Arabidopsis thaliana: one gene and its partner. The protein of the gene in region 2 interacts with the protein of the main gene of each other region in a pairwise test. Each region holds a gene or a part of one and is shown on either strand. Other genes may lie near its edges.

The links. Proteins that work in one complex are often made in the same cells at the same time.
Region 1: the proteins of AT4G37710 (region 2) and WRKY43 interact in binary tests that used the Arabidopsis thaliana proteins (3 or more experiments, as listed by UniProt).

The regions. Positions count from the first base shown.
Region 1 is NC_003071.7:18,955,376-18,959,123, reverse strand, and holds WRKY43 (WRKY DNA-binding protein 43), read right to left. Parts: upstream 1,913-3,748; 5' UTR 1,871-1,912; coding exon 1,722-1,870; intron 1,636-1,721; coding exon 1,455-1,635; 3' UTR 1,199-1,454; downstream 1-1,198. Other genes in the region: KPHMT1 (ketopantoate hydroxymethyltransferase 1), read left to right, coding at 2,713-3,114, 3,482-3,748. UniProt on the Arabidopsis thaliana protein: Transcription factor. Interacts specifically with the W box (5'-(T)TGAC[CT]-3'), a frequently occurring elicitor-responsive cis-acting element.
Region 2 is NC_003075.7:17,716,484-17,720,229, reverse strand, and holds AT4G37710 (VQ motif-containing protein), read right to left. Parts: upstream 2,103-3,746; 5' UTR 1,997-2,102; coding exon 1,625-1,996; 3' UTR 1,459-1,624; downstream 1-1,458. Other genes in the region: PSK6 (phytosulfokine 6 precursor), read left to right, coding at 912-1,040, 1,135-1,269. UniProt on the Arabidopsis thaliana protein: May function as negative regulator of flowering transition.

The DNA of each region.
Region 1 (3,748 bases), on a different chromosome or scaffold from region 2:
CAGATCTCTCTTTGTCTCTCTCTCTCTTTTCTAAAGTTTATGGCGCTGTCGGTTCTATATATTTTGGTACCTCTTTTAAGGATGATAAATACCTTAATTGCCGGAGCGTGACATTTTTGATTTTTCTTTGGTTGTTGGAAAAGGAATAATATAATAATTTTTCCATCATTAGAAAAGGAATAAGATCCTTTTTTTAGAGCATCATGGTCATAACGTGCGTTCTTACTTCTTTGCTCGTCCGAAAAAAAGATGAAACATGTTTATTATAGAATATACTACAATTATATTTTGTATATTATGACTTTTAAATTAGCAATATGTTTTAACTTTTAAGCAATATCCTAAAAAATTAATTATTAGTTGTTTTACTATTATGACCAATTATTTTTAATAGATTTTAACATTATCAAAACTTAAACTTTAAAGATATTTAACAACTACATGTTGAGTAGTACTACTTTCTAAACATTAATTTTTGGTAAATAATCCCAAGAAGATGAAAATATAAGAGATTATTTTATCTTCCTAAAATTAGTCAAAACATATATATTTTATAATTTTAAAGATTATTTGAGATTTAGAGGTATACATACTTACCTTCCCATTGATTGCATTTGCTTAAGTTGAAAAGTGGATTTATATATGGAAGAAGAAAAAAAATATGAAAATGTAGTTTTTTTGTTTCTTCTTTTAATTCGGCAATCCATATTTATTAGTACACTTTGTGGCTTCAACTTCGCCAAGACTTGTTCGCTTCTTATTTTCGGTGACTATTTAAGGATGCTGATCAAAACTTGAAAGCAATTCATGTAATATATCGGAACTGACTTCGTACATGTGACATGTCTCATTGACATTGTTCATCGTGTAAATAAACAAAACAATAATCACTCACGATAAGCCAATAGGTTTATTCAAACGAAAGGAAACTGATTTGGCTTGAGAAAAATCTATGGAAACCAAATCCGGTTTTATTCAGTTTACCAGACGATATTGCTCTATGCCTCTCTATAATCATCACGTGGTAATCGTTTTACCGGAATATTACAATTGATTTGTTTTTTTATTTTGGTTATATGCTTAAAACTGATTTATAATCAAAACGAGATTGCAACTATGAACATGCAAACATATATGATTACAATGCTTTAATTTGCTCCGTTATATGAACCATGGAACATTAGACCATCTCCACCAGTAAAAATAAAGAAAGTTTCTCAAAAACATATTAATTAATATTTTAATCAAAACAGATACATTAATTATTATTTAATAGTTGAACTAATAGTGTGATTACACCTGTCCAATCATCCGAGAAATTTAACTCTCCTTCTCTCCTACTTTTTCTCCCTTCTCTCATATTTTTTTTTTAATTTTTTTTCTTTTGTTAGGTATCTCATTGAGATACTTCCATTGGAGATGCTCTTAGAACGTTAATATATATACAAACATAATTAGGTGAACTTAGAGAGGAACTGCAATTGATGAAGAAGAGGAGTTAGGGTTTGCATGAGCTCCTCACAAGGATGGTTATGGATTCCTTCATAAGTTGTCTCCACAATGCTCGTCTCCTTCGACAGCCTCTGAACTTGCTTCTTCACGTTACACATGTGTTGTGTGCATCTATAATAGCTCCTTTTGATGATCATAAGTGAGAAGAAACACACAAAAAAACAATCTTTTTAAAAACAATTTCAGATTATTTATGTTAAAAAGTTTACCTGGGATACAAGCTGTTCTTGACGGATTTCTGACCGTACTTTCTCCATCGATAACCATCATCGAGAATATCTGCATCACTCTTTGTGCGAAACGAAAATCGCGGATTTTTCATCTTCTTATCTCGAGAAGAGTCGACGAGGCCATTCATTAATGAAGAGGAGATATGATGAATCAACGAATTGTGTGTTAGAATTCTTCGTGTGATTTATATTGAAGAGATATATAAAAAGGTTTAGAAGCCAACTACATTCAACTACTTCAGACCAACAACAACAAAAAATTCCTTCACGTCATCTCACACGTGTGTGACTTAAAAAACAGAGACATGGTTTGGTCTTTACTTGAACTCCTGGAAACTGTAAACAGTAGAATCCGGTTTTGGTATCACAATGCGCAATCTCATAAAAAAGAACCGAAGCTACGATCTTAAAGGAGCTCGTGCAGAACCCTCGGATGCTCTCCAACTCCAAGAGAGTTCCAACTAGTAACCGCGATCTCAATCTCTACATTTCTCTATCTAAACCCAGAAACGGAAAAATAAAAAAGGAATCGCCTTTGGAACAGAAGTTCAATAAGATCGAAACAGAGACTGGGTTAGGCTAGAGCCTAGAGAGAAACAGAGACTGGGTTAACATAACCAGACTGAACCAAAATCCGGTTTAATATAGTAAAGATATTTTAAAACTATCTCCGTTGCCGGGACTCGAACCCGGGTCTCTCGGGTGAGAGCCGAGTATCCTGACCAGCTAGACTACAACGGATCTTGTTGATTTCGTTAAAATATTGAATTTATAGTTAAGCTATCACAATTCCTAACAGTGTCATTGCTATGCTTGATTTGTGTGTGAAACCCAGAACTGAATCGCCACTTGCCAGAATCTAAACAGCGTCCTCACTCACTAGGAATTGAATCTTCTTAAAAGTAAAATTCCTTGTTCTTGTAAACACAGACACAGTCACAGATAAGAGGGTTTCTTCATCTTCACAACAATGGCGTCCTCACTCACTAGGAATTGCTCTCGCTTCTCAAAAGCCATCTCTGTCCGTTTCATGAGTAACCTACCGGAAAACACCGTCTACGGAGGACCAAAGCCACAAAACCCAAACCAAAGAGTGACGCTAACGCATCTCAGACAAAAACACCGGAGAGGAGAACCGATCACCGTCGTAACTGCCTACGATTACCCATCCGCCGTTCATTTAGACACAGCTGGTATCGATGTTTGTCTTGTCGGTGACTCAGCTTCCATGGTTGTTCATGGTCACGACACAACACTTCCTATCTCCTTAGACGAGATGCTTGTTCATTGTCGTGCCGTTGCTCGAGGCGCTAAACGACCTCTCCTAGTTGGTGACTTGCCATTTGGTACCTACGAGTCAAGCTCTAGTCAGGTAATGTTATAAAATTGAATCTTTTTTTCTTCTAGATACCTAAATTAAACATATTTGTTGATAAGGCATGTTCTTCTGCTTAATTTTTGTGTAGGTAATTAGATTCTTGATTGCAATTTCAATACCTGAATTAATCACAACACTCAGTGGGACTTACAATGTTCAATTCATTTCCTGATCAAATGTTTAGGTGATTGGATTCTTGATAAAAAAAGTCTTAAATGATACATTATGTGTCAATGTGTCATTGCCTGTGTAATCACAGATTTAGCTTTAGTACTTGCTTATGCAAAGTAGATTCTTTACAAGATTTTGTGTCAATGAAACAAATTAGGGACCTGATTTTGGGTTTAAATGTTGGCTTCAGGCGGTTGATACTGCGGTTAGGGTTTTGAAGGAAGGAGGAATGGATGCGATTAAGCTCGAAGGAGGATCAGCTTCTAGGATCACTGCTGCAAAAGCTATAGTTGAAGCAGGAATTGCGGTTATTGGTCATGTGGGTCTAACCCCTCAGGCGATTAGCGTTCTTGGTGGTTTCAGACCCCAAGGCAGAAACATAGCTAGTGCTGTTAAAGTTGTTGAGACTGCAATGGCTTTACAAGAAGCTGGATGTTTTTCGGTTGTTTTGGAATGC
Region 2 (3,746 bases):
TTCTTTGCTTTGCAACTTTAAAAATCGATTGGTTTCTCGTGATATTAACATTATAGTGGTTGGGGCCTGCAACTATTGCGATAATTGTACTAATTAGTGACATCAAATTACTGATAACCAATTCATAAATTGTTTTTCTGCGTGTCGACCTACTAATTAAATCGGGTTAAAGTAATGTATGTTTCAACTTTCAAGTTTTTTATTTCCGACTGTACCACCATCATGCTTGAATTGCATTGGGCCAGTATATTGGTATATTTGGCCCAATATGAAAAAATCAACGGTTGACTTCACGTAAAAACAGGTCAACGTTTTTGATAGACTAATGCCAAACAAAAAAAGTTCTTTTATTATTCTTAGGGATTGGTTTTGGAAAAAAAAAAAAAAAGGGATTGGTTTTGGTCCAATTAACAATCTCCTTTACCCTTAACAGCACCAGTGGCAAATTATGGCAAAATAATAATAATCAGTAGTAGCAAAAAACATTCAGTCCATTTAACCTCCCTATAAATATACTTCTAGATGTTTCCAATATAAATCGAGGTAATGTGTGATGGTTAATCTTTAGAAACATATTGGTATAACCTAACTTTTATCAAATCCACTTTTCTTTATATATAATTTTAAAATACTATAAAATTTTGAATATTACACATTCATTTGTTTCCTTTTTGAAAACGAGTGAAAGAGATATACATCTTTCTTTCTTTCTTTTTTTAACTTTTACAACTACATTTTTAATAGATAAAAACATTAACAAATGAAAAAGATAAGAACAAAACACTCTAATTTTTTTCTTCTTAAAATAAGAACTAGATTAAGAAAAGAGTTGACCATGATTGACTATATATAAAGATGCTTTGGTCATTAGTTTTCAATATATCCATAATTAATTAATCTATAATCACAAAATGGCAAATCTCTCTACTTTGATCACGATAGCTCTCCTCCTTTGCGCCACCATGCTAACGTGCAGCGCCCGCCCTGAACCTGCCTACTTCGCCTCCTTCACAACCTCTCCGGCGGATACACTTAGTCTGGTTAGTATTATATGCGTAAACACATGTTGAATGTTGATTCATGCGTAGTTATATATTTTCGTTTGTAATTTTATGTTTCATTGTGTTTCATCAGGAAATGATAGAATCAAAATTACATGAGGTGGCGGGAGAGAGCTGCGATAAAGAAGACGACGAAGATTGCTTGGTGAGAAGAACATTGACGGCTCATCTTGATTATATCTACACACATAAGAATAATCATCATTAATTAGCTGTAAAATTATTCTAACGTTAATTGTTGTGAATTTCAAATTATTCTCACATGTTAAACATGTGTATATAGAATCATTGATTAATTCAATTTATTCTTTTAATGAAAATATCAAATTATTCCCAATGTAGTTAGAATCCTTAATCAATCCAATTATGTTTTATTTTAATCAAAAGTCTTAACTCCCACAAATTATGTGTGTGTTACAGATAAATGACATAACAAATTAATTCTAGAATGCGAGTCTGAAAAATATATGATTACATCTTTCTGGTTTATTAAAAACAAACTAAAAATAAATACAAGAATGTTAAGCATTTCAATCAAAAGAAGCATTTTGCAAGAGTAGAAGCTACCATCTGGAAATATTTGCAGGATTTTGGAATGAGAAATCTCCCCAAGATGATGATGGATCAAACGCAAATGACGAAGAACTCTGCTTTGCTGCATCATCCGAAGTCTTGAGCGGTTTAGCCTGCACAGTCTCGTGCTCAGGTGCACCGGTTAGCCTCTGAACCAACACTTTGAAGTTTACTGGCTCGACTCGGTAGACATGAGGATGCATTGGATTCAAAGGTGATGATATTGCAGGCCTCTTCAAGGGCTTTGAAGGTTGTTTACGTGTCGAATGGAGCGAAGTTAGGTAATTTTTCGTTGCCCTTGTGGTGGTTTCTTGAGCGTTAAGGTAACTCTGAGACATAAATTGTTGTGATGTTGCTTCCATTGAGACTTGAGATGTCGCTTAAAATTCTTTGAATGTGAAAGTTATGTTCTTCTGATATTTATTGATCTTTGAATGTGAAAGTTATGTTCTTCTGATATATAATGATGGATGTGCAACATGTTCAACGAGGGTCAAGCCTTTGGTTTTTGACTCTTATTAGGGAATTGACTATTGAGAACATTGTTTGTTTTTCTTAGTTTTGTTTATGAGAATCATAAGTGAAAGGGGAATTTTCAACGTGTGTGTTCTTAATATTTTATTGATTTGATAGTTTTCGAAGTTTCTGATTAGGATTAAACTATTAAGAGGAAGATTCTTTAATCAAACTGAATTAATACTTTATCAAATATTATAATAAAGAAAGCTGTGGCTGTCCACGTGACGGTTTGATATTATCTGTAATGGTAAGAAGATTAAGTACTTATCAATAGCCTTCGGATTTGAATCTAATCGGATTCCTTGATCTTTTTATTTTATTTACTTTTATAACAAGTAATCTATTAGCCGTAACAAAAAAACAAACTAATCTATTATTTTGATTTCTAGTAATACAGTGCGCATAAGAGTCACGTCAGTCGGAACGTTAGAGAAAAAGGTAAATTTGAACGTTACATAACGGTAACTCTTTTGGTTTATTTCTTTAACTACGATGCTCTAGATATCTTTCAGATTTAAAACATTTGAGATATATATATATTTGGAAGAGGTCACATAAGATGATAATAACAAAGAAGCTTAACCTCTGTTCTCGTGGTTATTTGATTTGGTAGATTAGTCTTAAAATTGTCTTGAAATGGAAAATAAATTAGGCAGTCTTGAAAGAATCTACTTGAATTTAATTGTTCATATTGATATATAGGAAAAATAACAATCCTAGTTCTGTTTTATTAAGAAGATTAGTTTCTTTGAAAAACTAAAATATATGTCTGAAATGGATATTTGGGCATAAAGGTTTTTATTTTATTTTTAGATTAGTATATGATACTTGCATGATTATGTTGCACATAGTTTTCTGAAATTCAGAAGGCGTTGTAATGAAAATTTTGATTTGATTTTTGCAGGTTTTTTAGAAGAGCATAAACTCAACCGGAGTATGTAAAGAAAACGCCTTGATGATGAAAGTGATGATGTGCAGATGGAGTAGTGATGGAAGGAGAATGTCATAGAAGAGAGAAATCTAAATGCATCATTGGGATTGTGCCGTGCCATACTTTGATTGAGTGTGGAATGTGTATATATCAGATGTGTGACGAATGCTTGTAAAATATATTGATTCAAACTATATATCAAACTCAAGAATAAGAACAAGATTATGAATAAAAGACTCTCTCTTTTATTGCTTTAAGAAAATAACTCAAAACCTAAAAACACACAATCTTAATCTCTCAACTCATAAGTTTTGCAACACTCTTGCAACTCCTTTATATAAGAAAAGAACTAGACAATTTCCTAATCCTATTAGGAAAACACACATAAGTATTTAGGCAACTTCCTAAACACAAAGTCTAATTTTAATTTCCTTTTTGCTTGATTGCTTCTTCTTCAAGTAAGCTTCAAGCTTACTCCAACATTTTCCCCCTTAAGCTTGAAGCTACACTTTGTCATATCTTGAACTCCCACAAGATCTCTCATCTCTTTGAACTTGATTCTCCCGAGTGCCTTTGTTAGAATGTCGGCTCTCTGTTCGGTTCCGGGGACGTGCTCCACCTCAACTTGTTCATTCGCAACGCACTCACGAATAAAGTGATAC